3 linked regions of the Drosophila melanogaster genome follow. The gene in region 1 interacts genetically with each later gene. Each region holds a gene or a part of one and is shown in the gene's direction. Other genes may lie near its edges.

What was found. A genetic interaction does not mean that the proteins touch.
Region 2: of Fas2 (region 1) and Timp, changing one suppresses a phenotype caused by changing the other (phenotypic suppression), as found in Drosophila melanogaster (one study listed by BioGRID).
Region 3: of Fas2 (region 1) and Nrg, changing one enhances a phenotype caused by changing the other (phenotypic enhancement), as found in Drosophila melanogaster (one study listed by BioGRID).

Annotation. Positions count from the first base shown.
Region 1 is NC_004354.4:4,203,038-4,207,979, reverse strand, and holds the start of Fas2 (fasciclin 2), read left to right. Parts: upstream 1-1,886; 5' UTR 1,887-2,080; intron 2,081-4,493; 5' UTR 4,494-4,719; coding exon 4,720-4,789; intron 4,790-4,942.
Region 2 is NT_033777.3:10,209,979-10,214,645, reverse strand, and holds the start of Timp (tissue inhibitor of metalloproteases), read left to right. Parts: upstream 1-1,638; 5' UTR 1,639-1,887; intron 1,888-4,667. UniProt on the Drosophila melanogaster protein: Metalloproteinase inhibitor that acts on both matrix metalloproteinases Mmp1 and Mmp2 in vitro. Complexes with metalloproteinases and irreversibly inactivates them by binding to their catalytic zinc cofactor.
Region 3 is NC_004354.4:8,515,600-8,520,516, forward strand, and holds the start of Nrg (neuroglian), read left to right. Parts: upstream 1-1,888; 5' UTR 1,889-1,910; exon of another isoform or gene 1,911-2,799; intron 2,800-4,917. Other genes in the region: CG33181 (uncharacterized protein), read left to right, coding at 1-13, 124-327. UniProt on the Drosophila melanogaster protein: Essential for septate junctions. Septate junctions, which are the equivalent of vertebrate tight junctions, are characterized by regular arrays of transverse structures that span the intermembrane space and form a physical barrier to diffusion.

The DNA of each region.
Region 1 (4,942 bases):
CTAAATCGACGTCTTCATTTGTCTGGCTGGCTGGCTTCAAATCAGGTAGCAGATAGTCGGATTTCGGGGTCACAGGTCAGGCGAAACCATTTCAAGTAGGCTTGAACAACATATAAACTATCGCCATTGTTCACTGGTTCCCATAATTGTTAAATAATTGCAGTTCTCGGCGGGAAATGGGCATATTTCCTTTGTTTTTACATCAGATTACTGGTGCCAAGACCAAAGATTCTTAAAATAATTACTTATTTATTTATATTTATGTTCTAATTTCTTTATATTACATTCTTGCTTTTTAAATCGCCAATACATTTAAATGCAATCGTGTTAAATCCTATTTGTTGATAGCCAAAATGTTCACATCGTTGGCACATCATGGGTCAAAGGTCGAACGCATTAGCAAATTAAGCGTGAAGAACGATTGTCACCATAGTTCCCACAGCCAGCCGATCAATTCAATATTCATCTGTGAAAAGTTCGGAAAATTCGGCCGGCTGTGAAATAAAATTAACGCACTCCAAATCGGGCGAATCGGGCGTATCGGGTTTTTGTTTTGTGTGTGGGAGATAGAGGAAGATTCCGAGCAATAAATAAAGCGCAGCGAAAGTGCGACATCAACGACAAAATAACAATCCTATAAATCACTTATTGGTGATTCTGGCGGGGGAGGGGTGTCGCTGGTATATAGATATATGTAGGTACATATATCCCCTCTGTATACGGTGATAAATTGCTCCGTCACACAAACGACAAACGAAACAAAACAACAATGATAACTGCAGAATACATCGCATTGGCATCTATACGCAATTTCATTTAGTAAATTGCACACAGCGCATTCAAACGTAACTGCGATTTTTTTTTTTGTTTCCACTTAACCGGGGAAAATCACCCCCCTCGTCACGATTTTTCCGCAGGCTGGTTTAATTGACAGCGCGGCAATTGAAAATAAAAGAAGTTTTTGTTTGGAATCGAATCTCGATGTTGCGCGGGCAACAAGTGGCCGTCTCCGAAATATCCGAAATGTTGCCAGCCGGAAAATTCGTCTTGCATACCCGCCCGATTTTCCCCCCAGCATTCGTCGGTTACTTCGACAGCAAGATCGTAAAATGCTGTGCCGAAAAATAAGACGTTAAACTTTGGTTTTCCTCATTTCGAAATGTTGCAAGAGGTTTCGGCAACATGCTGCTAACTTCGAAGGATGTTTAGATAGTGTTCCCGAATATTCTTACAAAACTTATCGAAGTGTGAGATTTTCATCTTGCATATCAATCGGAAAAACCTTAGCTAGACATCATCTCCTCGCGATAGCACACTTTGCGTAATATATGTACATACGTGTAGCTCTTTTAAATGTGCCCCCGAATAAAGTAGTTACATTTTTAATGCTTCGTTCTGAAAGTTTGTTGACAAAGCTCCACAAAGATTGGGCAACAAAAACGTGTCAAAAAACCTGACACCAGTCGCTCGTAAAAGTGACGAAATGGGGCTTAAGTGCCACCGCCCAGTTTCTCCGCCCATTGTCGTTTGACCTTGCTGACACTCGAGAAGAAAAGAGCTGAATTCTTCGCCGCCTAACGGTAGACACTCTCCATCTCTTTTAGTCTCCACTGAAAACATATTTGGCCAATAACTGATATTAATATTCCTGTGCACTTATTACGTTATTTATGTAAATTAATTTCATTTTAAAAGAGCTCAGATTTTCGGTTTTATAAATTGCTATTATCTATGCACTTTACTTCTTAAACTTCTACCATCTCCCTTGCTTGATTACTTTCGGTTGGCAACATGCTGCGTCGCATCGGCTGGCAACATTTGGGGTTGCCAGATCTTGTGGCGCGGCAATAGCTGTGGTATTTTGCGGCGGCAGCGCTAGCGGTGCTTTCAGTTACGTTTCGACGGCCAACGCGTCGAGTGCTCTGCTTGCTGAGAGAAAGAAAAACACAAATAGAGACAACAGAAGTGGTTCTTCTTCTTCATACTCGCATTCTCTCGCGCTCTCTTCACCGTATGTGTTAACGGTCGTGGCGCGTCGTGTGCGTGTGTGTTAGTGTGCCAGTTAAACAATGAGAAATTGGTAATAATAAATAATAATAATAACTGCTCATAACAGCCATTATTTGGCCGTGCATGAGAAGAACTCAAAAAACATGTCGAGACAGCTCCACAAAAACCAAAAATAAACTGGCGGCATTCTTGTACATATTTTTTTTTTCAAAACTTTTTTTTTAGCGTGTGACAAAAAATACACAAATGTATCTCTCTCGCTCTGCTGAGTCTATGCTGTTTTGTTGTTTTAGCCCAAGATTCCAATGAGTCACGTGCAAAAGTTATTTCAATGAAAACCTCCATGAAAACCCTTTGAAAACTCACCCAATAATCGAGTTGGAAAAGTGCATACAACAAATATGAAAAAAAAGAGCAACATCACCTGAAAAGCAAGAAAAATAAAACGGAAAACAGGTTTTTGGGCCCGCTTCGCTGCCAACTTTATTGTTGTTACTACCAACAGTGTGCACTGGAAATTGACTCACGCTTGCAGCTGGCAAATAGGAAATATGAAACATACAAAAAAGAAACACGTTAAGAATTAGGAAAAGCCGGGCAAATTGATTCCACAACTAATCTGGAATGTTAACCACAGAACAAAAAAAAAAAAAAATAGAAAAGAATAGATTCTCAAATTTCACGACCAATTTCAGTCGGTTTCGTTTTTCCTTTGTCTGTCAAAATTGCCTTTATGTCGCATATCAAAAAGTTTATTTCGTTTGCTGCGGCTTTCTGCAAAAGTTTTAATGTGATTAAAAATATTTGTTTAAACTGTTAACAAGTCGGAATAAACTCAAAGTTGGTAAATTAACTTCATCGACTTCATAGAGTGCTTATTTGAAAACTTTTGCCGCTTTACTTTTGGCAGTTTTTCGAACAAGATGTTAGTTTCGCATTAATAAATTAGTTTATTGCGTTTTATCAAACCTAACCGAGCCATATTTTAATTAAGACTACAAAATCCTATTGAGTTCGTCCAATTCTAGGCAATCAAAACGGCAGATGTAATTACAATTTGTCGGTCGCGCCGAAAGTCAAAATCAAATCATTTGACAGCATTAATAATTCACGAATATCAAGTGGAAAACTTCTAAACTTTGTGCAACTTGAACAGATTCACAAAAACTCTACCGTTGCCAGAACTTCCCCTCTGGCCAAGTCTCTCATTATAATTAGCGTTTTCGAAACTTTATGAATATTTAAAACTGCTTCGCGGGTATTTTGTAACAATGTCTCAATTTGCCAAAAGCAAGAATGAAGCGAGATGAAAGCGAAATATTCTCAAGAATATTTCGCGTGCCGCAGACACACATACGCGCGGTTCCTATGAAAAAAAAAGTCAAGGCCTGCCCTAAATATCGATTATCCAGTAACTGTAATAACCGTAAGCCAAATGAGGGGGTGCGGTGGGAAAGTTCCGCTGTGCAAAGTGGGCGGGATTAGTGGCAAGACGAGCTCGCGAGGAAGTAACTACAGTTTTCCCTCGCCTGCATGCAAATATTTTTTGTTGCTAGGACTGTTATGAGTTTTCAAAAAAAAAAAAAAAAGAGCACTGCTTGCAAGGCGTCACTGTAAATGAAAATTAACTTTTATTGATCACTTATTCTACCTTTATTATTAGTCATTGCATTGAAGTCACGTTCAATTCTATAACTCAACCGTTTTTTATTTGGTTTACGATATTCTCTAAAGCGAGCGATAACTGTACTTTAGAACTTGTTGCAATTCAAGGACACTCAGCATAGGTGCAACTTCAGTAGACATAGAGAGAGAGAGAAGGCGAAAGAGAGCGAGAGAGACAAAGCTTGAGTCATGAATTATTGGAGAGACGCACGAACTTATGTGCCGATAAGAAATATACATTTCGCTCTCGAACCCAAAAGATAACGATCTACTGAGAACACAAACTTATAGATAAAATTCAGCTTAAGCAATCCTCTCCTACCTTATCCAAAGCCCCCCTTCCCTCCCTTACCCCTTGTGTCTGTGTTGCTCCTACCATATTTCCCCTGCACTACGTGTTTCGACTGCCGAGAGCACCGTAATTTCCGTTACAAAAACTGGCCAACATGTGCGAAGTCGGCGGCGCAGCAAGTTTTATTTTCTTCGTTTTCCTTTCTCATTTTTTTTCTTCTTCGCTGCCGCCGCCGATTTTAGAGAATGCAAAAGAGACAAGGCACACACGCACACAACATCGGCTCGCGCTGTCTCGCTTGCACTGCCTTCTTCCTCTTCTCCTCGCCCATAAATGCCAACATTTGCCATTTGAAGCTAAAATGCTAAAGTTATGACAAATATCAAATGCAGATGAACTTCTAAGGCCCAATCTGACTAACCACAAAAGCCAGTTACCATGAATTTAAACTAAAAAAAAACCCTATCTATATTACTATTAAAAGCTTAGCTAATTCATCTTTCTTTCATTATCAATATACTTTCAGATTCACACACCGAAACAGACAAAAGAAAAAAAAACAAAAGACACCGAACGCAAAGTGTTAATCAGAATAGAATAATTTGTGCAATCACGAGCAGCGAAAACAAACTGAAATTTTTTAAACATTTTTTTCGTGTGCAACCGTAAACAAACCAAAGAAGTTAAAACGAGAGCTATTTGCGAGCGGGGAAAACTAGAAAACTACTACAACTGCAAAAACAGCGATAAAAATGGGTGAATTGCCGCCAAATTCAGTCGGCGTCTTTTTGGCGCTGCTCCTCTGCAGCTGCTCTTTAATAGGTGAGTACGGGTATAAAAACGCTCCCCGAATTCCCAATATGTGCTTTTCAATTTGGTATTATAATTAGAAATAGAACCCAAACGCACGAATTGTGCTAAAGTCGAAAATTTATGGCCGCTTCTCCTTTGAAAAGAAAAAACTAAGCCGGAGAA
Region 2 (4,667 bases), on another chromosome or scaffold:
AAGACACCGAGGCAATCACAATATGTTTTTCACTGTCTGATTGAAATTCTATAAATTACAATATACCGATGAGCTCTTTACTTCCATTTTTTCTCATTTTATTTTCTGCGGAAATCAAGGGGCGATGCTTATTAATCCATTGGATAAGTGCCAAATTCATTGGTTGTTTTTGCCCTCATTCCGATCACGAATCTGGCCATGGAAATTTTCTTTTGATTTGCCAGACGAATTCCAAGAATCCTCGATCATTAGTCAGGCAGGAACATTTCATGAAAATACCTTATAGTTATTAATGGCGCATGCAAATCACTATTAAATATGCAACAGCAACAATGCCCAGCCCTCAAATATTTGACTAATTCGCATTTTATTAATTTTACATCGTTGCTCATGGTTATTACATTTATATATGCAAATCGCCAACCGATTACCCTTGTTAATCATCTCTCCCAGACCCAAAGCCATATTTAAACAGTTGATAAATCACAAGTAAACACATGGGCTTAATTTTGTGTTGCATTGGCAGAGAATGAATAAATCAAAATAAAACCAAATGGAAAACCATAACAACCATGACGCAGCTCGAAGAATTGTCGCAATTGCCGCCGATGAAAGACCGTCCTGTTGACAGAAAGCCCCAAACAAACAGAGTGCGAGAAATCTCTCAATGAACATAAATATATATAGGTATCTGAGATGTATCTGGACCGAGAATAAGAGTGACTATCAGAATGAGACGTCACACCCCCACATAGCCAGCATTCTTGGAAGCTGCTACGTGTTCCGCCTGAGTACCCACCGTCTAGGGAACTGCATCTCGGTTATATCAGCGGACTTAAAATATGCACTGTGACGCATTCGTAGTGCCCTGAAGCGGGTTCATCGATTGACAGTGGTGTCTGGTGTATAAGTGCACAGGAAGAAAACGATTTAAATAAGTTTCAACATTGGCACAGACCACTATACTGATCACAATTGTAAAACCCTATTATATTAAATCTTATAATTTTGTAATATTATTATAATATTCTTAAGCCATCAGTAGTGCAACGTTAAGTATCCCCAACCGTTTCTCGCCGTGTAGATCTGTAGTGCGGTGGCGTTACCGGGTCGGGTATGCAGATTATGGCAACGTGCTGTAGGTGGAGCATGGAGTATGATATGAAGCATGACCGGAGCAACAGCACGTGTGTGCGCCACATGGTCAGAGGAAGAGGAAGTTGGATCTCTGGCGAGTTTACGACTGGGCATAGCTGAATTATTAGTTGATTTGCGGCCTGACAGATGCGCTATTCTCTGCCGTTTCGTGTGGCGATCTCTTTTTGGCCATGGCGCCAAGTAACTACAACTATGCATATTGTATGCTATTATATGGCCGAGAGCATAAACCAGGCCCCTGCACGCAATTAATAAAGCTGCCAAGGTAACAAAATAAACGCAAAGAAAAATGCAATCGACTCTCCTCCACTTTCCACTCATTTGGGGCGAATTTATGGCGCTTTTGATCGCCCGACTGCCGCAAGAAACACTCAAGTTATAAAGACACGAGTGGATTCGACTCAAACGATCGATCGATCCGATCTCTCACTTCCCGAACAACTTGAGTGAAGAAAACAGTCGAATCGGTTGACTTGACGATCCAGTGCAGAACCGCAAGCGCAGCGAGCTAGAACGCCACAAAATCGGCGACGGAAAAATCGCGACATCGTACGAGATATATAGTACCAAGTAGTATAAAGTGCTGACGAGTCGAATCGAGTGCGAGTGCGAGTGCGAGTGCCGGTGAAAATACATTCAATTGTTTTTCCCGATTTTTGTGCCCTCGGGTTCAAGTGTTTAAAAGCCTGAAGTGCTAGTTTTACACACAAAATAGGTTGCAGCTTAAAGGTAACAAACTAGGCTTATTTTGCTAATTTTTGGTAATTTAAGAATTGAGTACTTGAATGCTTAATTGTGTTAATTTATTTTAAAAATTTCCGCATTGCCAAGTGTTGTGTCAGAAGTTAAATAGCCGGAATAAAATGGTTTGCTTATTTTTCCGCAAACAGAATTTTCATATATGTTTGAAAGGCAAAAAAAAGTTTCAGCTCAAAGAGCAGATTCAAAATAGCTTTTGTGGAGTTTTTAGCTAGAAATATTTTAAAATTAATTTTCTCTTATCAATTGATTTTTAAACTTTTCTCTTCTTTGATGCATTTTCCCCTGAGGTGCAAATTTCCACCTCAAAAACAAGTTGCAACTCAAAAGCCAAAGTACACAGCCATGTTTGTTTTTATTTTATTTTAGTTTTAGTTTTAGAGTTGTTTGGCATTTAGAAGATTGAAATTGAAATTGAAGGTATGCAAAACGCGCGACACAGACGCGTTGTGTATTTTATTTTGGGGCTATTTAAAACGCGCAGTGGGAAATGTGCCGACGTGACACAGCGACACAGTTTTCCAACGAAACGCTCATTTCTATTTATTGGCGTTTATTTATAATTTGTTTTTATTTGCCTAGCTGTGCATCTGCCTTCCCTGATCTTTTGGAGCGCCCCGAGTTTTCTTCTGGCCTTTCGAATTGTCTTAATAGTTTTTATTGTCGCCAATTTGTAAACAAACTGCAGGCCATTAAGAAATATACAACTAGTTTGCTTGTGCAATCCAGTCTGATCGTAAAGCCCATTTGAATCTGTGATGTACAAGTAACAATTTTGTTGGATGTCAAGGAAAGCGAAACGGTTGTGTGCGCCAGAGGTATTTCCATATTACGCATACGTCATGTGTGTTTTGGCATTGGCCATTTAGTGTCTAAAAATAAAGAAAAACATTTAATGCTTCTCGACTCTCACAAAAAAAAAAAAAACACCAATAAAATGTACAAGCACATCACAAGGGAGGGGAGTAAAGACTTCTCCAGGGAAATGCATTTCAAGTGGGTTTTCCCCTTTCTTTTCCATTGAGTTTTCTTTTGACAACTCGCATTGTTTCGCATGGATATTCATAATTTCGTTTTCCTTCATTTGACTTTGGATTCACTGTTGGCTTTTCGTTTTGTTTGTGCGCCATTTAAATGAGCTTGTATTTCGTATTGGCTTTTCAGCTTTTCTGGGATATTATATACTACGTTGACTTTTATTTTCTTTTTTTTTGCCATCAGATAACACTTATTATCGAATGGAATTTAAATTTCTAAAGTCTGCTAATTTTTGAATTGAATGCATTGTTTGCTTTTCTTACGACACATATTGCCATATGGCACCTTAACATTATCTTAACCGCAATTGCTTATTGAGGGAGAGAAAATCCGGTTAGTAGGCTACACTGAAATAAAAAAAAAATGTGTCCTAAAGATACTAGAGTGTTTGTACTCATCATGGTCAGATAAATTACCTTGAATAATAAAACTAGAACCATTTAAAACGTATATTAAACATTTCACATGATAATAATCATTGTAAATTGATATGTTTCTTTATTATGAATATCAGGCCTATTTCAGCGACTCCGAGAACGACGATCAATATAATGTAATGTAAGATTACGCATTGTATCCAATTCGCAAACAATAAAAAACCACAAAAGCTGGGCAAATAAAATTGTCATAATCGATGATTGTGAATGTGGCTTTTCCCTCGCACATCATTCAATTTGCCATATTTGGCGAATGCTTTTAAATCCCCAAAAAAGTCCGAAAGCCATATACGGTTGGCGATACAGATACGAAAACATTGGATCTGGATTGTTTATGCCGACACACCCACATTCTGCTCATCCCATTGCCTTTAATAAATTTTCTTGTGCAAATCTTGCAATTAAATATTATTGTACAAATAAGACAGCGCGACAAAGAGACTTTGGTTTGGTATTTTGGTCTTTCGCCACCATTAATAATTTCTGCCTCCCCCATGAATGTGCGTAAATTTCACAGGTCTGGCAGCAATTTATCGACAATGAATTTGTTTTTTTGGGAACCCGGAGCTCCTCCATTTGTGTGTGGGCCATGGGCCGTCAATTTGTCAGCTTCCCTGCTGCGTTTCTGCTCCTTTTATCTCAATGTCCCTCAATGTCTTTAACAAGAGCTGTCAACCGGGTCTTAAATGGAGCCTTGTTGGGCTGAGATAAATCACCCAAGTTGACGAAAACCGATTCGGTATTGTCACAGAAAATCACTTGAATATTTAATTGAACTGCCAGCCGGGTTATTTGTGCAGAGTTTATTGATTTTTATGCAAATTCCAGCAATTTGATAACTAAATGCAAGACCACACAGTGCGCACCATTGTATTTCCGAGCCAGAACCCACATTATACATAATATTGTATTTTCCGGCATATGCATATGTTTACTTTGCGGTCTTATATATATGCACATGCTATATGGGTTTCGCTCATTAAAGATTTATATTTTTATGGTCCGGCCAATGCAATGTGAGTCCAGGCCCCAGACCTTCGGGTCTCCGATTTTGTAGGAACCCTTCCCCCCCCCCCCTTCACCTACCATCCTCTTCAGATACATTAGCATTTTTAATTGAATTTTCGTTACGCATCCTGGGTGAAATGTTTGTTGATTTTGCCACGCCGCCAGACAATTTGTGTTATAAGTTGAGAAATTTGTGGCGTTACTGTTTCGCTCTTTAATTTCGCGTCTCAAAATGAAATCCCCAAAAAAAAAACGTGACGAATTTGG
Region 3 (4,917 bases), 4.3 Mb from region 1:
CAGTTTGGTTCAGGTGAGTTTTGAATATGCTAAGGCCGTTTGCTGATGTATGTACATACATACATACATATGTCATTATAAACCCTCCGAAAACACAACGCTAATGTGCTGCGATCGTTTCAGGTGATGCTGCTGCTGTATATTGCCCACATCATTGTGCACGCGATGTGGAAGTGGAAGATCGATCCGGATAACTCGGCCATACCCTACCTGACGGCCTTGGGCGATCTGCTCGGCAGCAGTCTGCTGGCGGTGGCGTGGCTCTTCACCATGTCGGTGGGCATGCAGTACGGATCCGGAATGGAGACACTAAACGCACCTAACTAATGTAGCTAACGAAATAGGGAGTACGGAGTAACGTAGAACGATAAACAAGGCAGCCACACATACACACACACCATACAATATAAAGAACTGTTATGTACCTAAAACAAATATACAGAAAACATAGAAATTGTACGTATAGCCAGCCTCCTCCAGCCACCCAAAAATCTTAAATCCAAGACAAAAAAAAAAAACCTCCCAACACCAAACGGAAACGGAAACGGAAACCGCTATAAAACGAACTAACTTTTAATGATGCATGTCGAATGCTCGAGGCGAGAGATATTAAGAGATATGATATCATTTTACATTGTGTCCTTCTTCACATGGCTTTTGCTTGTGTTCCTTTTGCTCTACCGAGAAATTATGTGCGATTATGGTATATATACAGGCTATATATAGGCATATGTAGAATTGCAGGCCGCTGCGTCATATTTTTTAAGGCTTTTAGGACAATATTATACACATTTAAAGAAAAGTATATACATTGTATAGGGAGAAAAAGACGACGAAGAATTACTAAAAGAACATTTACGCCACGCAAATTGTTTTCTCCCACTTTGGTTCTTGATTCTTTCGCTCTTGATTACCTTAAACAGCCAAATAATAATTGCAAAACGTAGACGTAAATAGAGCCTACTTAAATCCTTAATTTACACTTAACCAATTATGTAGTATTAGCGCAGATTTGATTTTTGCAAGTCTCGCTTTCGATTTTGTTTTTTTTTTTAATATTACTTTTCTCATTGTCCCCTTCCATCCCCCTTTCCATTTCCCCCCCGCAGAGCGCGAGCGATAAAAAGAAATAGGAGAAGCAATAATTAAACCGCGAATTGCGATATATATGATTGCAAATTAGTTAGGACGATGGAAAGGAAGTGTGTATGCAGGAGTTTGTGCGTTCTGCTCCGCATCAAAAAGTGAACAGGGATTAAAATGATGAGAATGAGAGACGTTCTGAAAGGAAATGTGATCGATATTTAGTTATAACAATAATAATAATAATAATAATAAATTAATTGAAAACGTAAGAGAAAAGGCATCAATATTGTGTAATACTTGAAACAATAATACCAATTAAATAAATATGTTGGAATAAACGAAAGAAATCCAAATAGTTTCAATATCTTTATAATTAATTATGTTTCTGTTTAGCGTTGCTCAGAATTGTAATTAAAACGTAAAACCATTTGAATTTGAATATTTTGGCGCCCAGTTCATCAATCGATATATCATTCATGTTATGGGTAGCATTGAACACACTATCGATAAGAGTCTCTAAAGAGTTACAAATATCGATAAGAGCGTAGGTTATTTAAAAGTATATCGCATCCCTGGTAATCAATCGATAGTTGGTATATCTTAGATAAATATCGATAACCGTAAACCAGTTTGTCGGTGATGCCACCCCGCATTCCGTGCGTCCGATTGTTACCGTTCGCGAGGCTGGCAGTTCCTCTCCGCATTCGAAAAGAAAATATCCGCGCTGCTGGTTGTGTATGTCCGCCAAATCGTATTTACTGAAAACTACGCCGAAAACACCGCGATACATATTCGCAGCCGAGCGAATATATATCGTTATTTGGGTGTTTAAGCACTAACTTTATTTATTTTTTCCTAAAAATTCCGCGTGTATAACATAACTGTCCCAGTGTGTGTGTATATGCGTCGGTGTTAGTGTTAGTGAGCGCCGGGAATTGAAAATAAAATAGTAAAAAAAAGAGGAAAAAAAACGAACTGACGCCGCGTAGAAAATTGTCTTATTTACTCCGCCAATATATAAATTGGTTTTAGCTCTGCCTTCGCTTTTTTTTTTTAGTGTGCGTTCGTGTGTGTGAGTGTGCGGGTGTGCTTGTCTGGGAATTGTTTTAAAAAAATAAGAAAAATTGGTTGCCAAACGAAAGGAAGAAAAAAAAACCCAAAACAAAATTGTTTGTCTCCTTGCGTTACTTCCACCTTCATTTTTTGTTGTTTTTTTACTTTGCACACTGTGCCGCACCCAAAAAGTTAAATAGTTGATGGTTTTCATTAATGCAATTGATTAAAAATGAATGGCAATGCAATATTGTACGAAGCACACGATGACAACAAAAAAGGAGAAGGAGAGCAAATCGGAGGACGCCAAAAGCCACGCAAAGGCAACAACAACAGCAACAATGGGCGCCATTAACTGTACAAGAGCGCTCAAAACCTCAACATTTAAAGCTCTGTGTTTTTTTTATTTTTCCTATTTTTTTGTTGTATTCTAGTTGTTTTTGTATGTACATATGTATTTACCACGAAGCCAAAACTTCGTAAGCGAGTTATTGAGTGGCTCCTTCTCACTCGCTCCGTCTCTCACGCTTTGGCGCGTCGCCCTCTCCCGCCTTCCTCTCTCTCTCTTACCTGAGTTTTGAGTTTTGGATTCTTGAGCGCTTTTTGGCAGAATCCCGTCATCTAGTTGTTGTTGCTGCTGCTGGCTTCTATGACTTAAAGGTAAGCATTATGGATTTGAACCAAGTTTTCGTCCAAGGGCGTAATCTTAACTCCACACACACTGTTTTTTTCTTTTCATTTTTATTGGTGGCTCTAAAACAGGTTTTCTAGCAGCTAGCGAAGATGGTGACGAAGAAGAAGAGCGCAGACAATGAGCGCGAATTACGGCATGTGTGTGTGCGTGTGTCGGTGTTCTTGTTTTGGTGTGTGTGTGTGTGTGTGTGTGTAAGGTGGGGCAGCTTCAAGAGATCACTTTTTGAGCTCTTTTTACGTTTTTTGCCCTCTCCCTCGTTCGTCGCCACTTTGGCGCTCTTCTCGCATTTTCACATGTACTTTCCACGTTCCTAGCGATTTCTCTCTAAATTCTTTCGATTTCATACCTCAAGTACAGAGATAACGGGTTTTCCATTTACAATTTAGAAGATACAAAAAACAAACAATCTTTTAGCGTTTTCAGTTTTATTTTCGTCTAAGCCATTTAATTCATTTACTTTAAAATTCTTTAAATTTAGCAATATCTGAAACAACTGATTTTCAATTTTTTTCAATGATTCTCAATTGCAAACTGAATTGAGTTTAGTTAGGTAAATATATACATTTTGTACTTCTCTCCGCTATTTTTTGTGGTTTTTGCTTTTGACCATGCGGTCATCGCGACGACGTCATCGTTGTGAATAGGTTTATATATATGTATGTACATATATGCATATGTATATGGCAGTTCGTTCCGCCCCAGCAACGCCGTCGACAGCAATGCCTCCGCCCCGAATCGACCCAAAAACGTATCAAGAAAAATAATAATAAATAAATAAAGAAATAACAGAAACTGAAACTGCGTCAACTGAAGCAGCATTAAAAATTAGCTAGTTAATAAATGCCCTTGTTGGCCTTTTGGTGTGGGGATGTCCGGCTAAAGATACAAGATACAATAAGTGATGAAGATATTACTTCACATGCTTACAACATATTAAAAGTATTTAAATAAAAAATATTTGCTAAAATTGTACGAGTTTTTGATAACAAGTTTTATCAACCGGCGACCACAACAGCAAAAAAAAAAAAAAAAAAAAATTTAAGTGCAAATTTCAAAAGTTAATTCAAGAATAAATGTTTAAGCAAACGAAACCAAATCCAAAGTCACTTTGCTGATATGTAATCGCAGCTATTTTTTTTATTTCAAGCACAGTGTGATGATAATTTTCGGCCATTCTTGACTTTGAAAAAATCAAGGCCAAGGTGATCGGAGAATATTTCCATGTTGCATGTGAAAGACTATTACTATTATTTATAAATTCAAGTCCCCTTTCAATGAGGCTAACCTCCAGTAACTGGGATCGTTTTCAATGAGAGCGATAAGAAAAGAACTTGAAACGAAACATTGAAGCTTTATCGATAGAGAAACATCCCCTATAATTTATGCCATTAACAATTGGAAAAGTCAAGCATAATTAAAGCAGTTCATTAATTGAGTAGGTACTGAAATGGACACTCACACTCGAGGCCATTTGAATAGGTACAAAGCATCTACTATTTACTGTTTTTTTTTTGGTCATGCTTCGCCTATTTGCTATTTGGTGATTTTTCGCATATAAATTTTCAATTTGTCAACAATAAATCATACGCAGATCACTGATTACTCTCTTACATATATTTATATGTTCTTGGATTTACTTGGTTACTTGGGAGCTTTTTCCTATATCTTGGATTCCTAAACCTCAAATATATTCCATATTGCCACTTACATACATGTGTATGATCTTGGGTGATTTTCCTCGTAATTGAATTGTTCTTGAACGCCAGAGGCGAACTTTTCGTTTATCAATTCTCCTGGGGCTTTTGTAATTTGTGTGTTATCTACTTTTGAGTCGATCAATTCTTGATTCACACTTGAGGCACTATATTGGTTTTGTCACTTCTGTTGGCTGCTGAATGTACATACATACATACATAATATGATATCATCGATATCTATCTGCGAACTCTCGCGCAATTTATGAGAGATTTATGTTGATATTTTCATATTTTTTTTGGGCGTGCAATTGCCTGGCATTTGTTATAATTAAAATGGAACGCCCCAAAAAGTTGGGGGAGCTGGTAGGAATCAGCAGGCATATATAC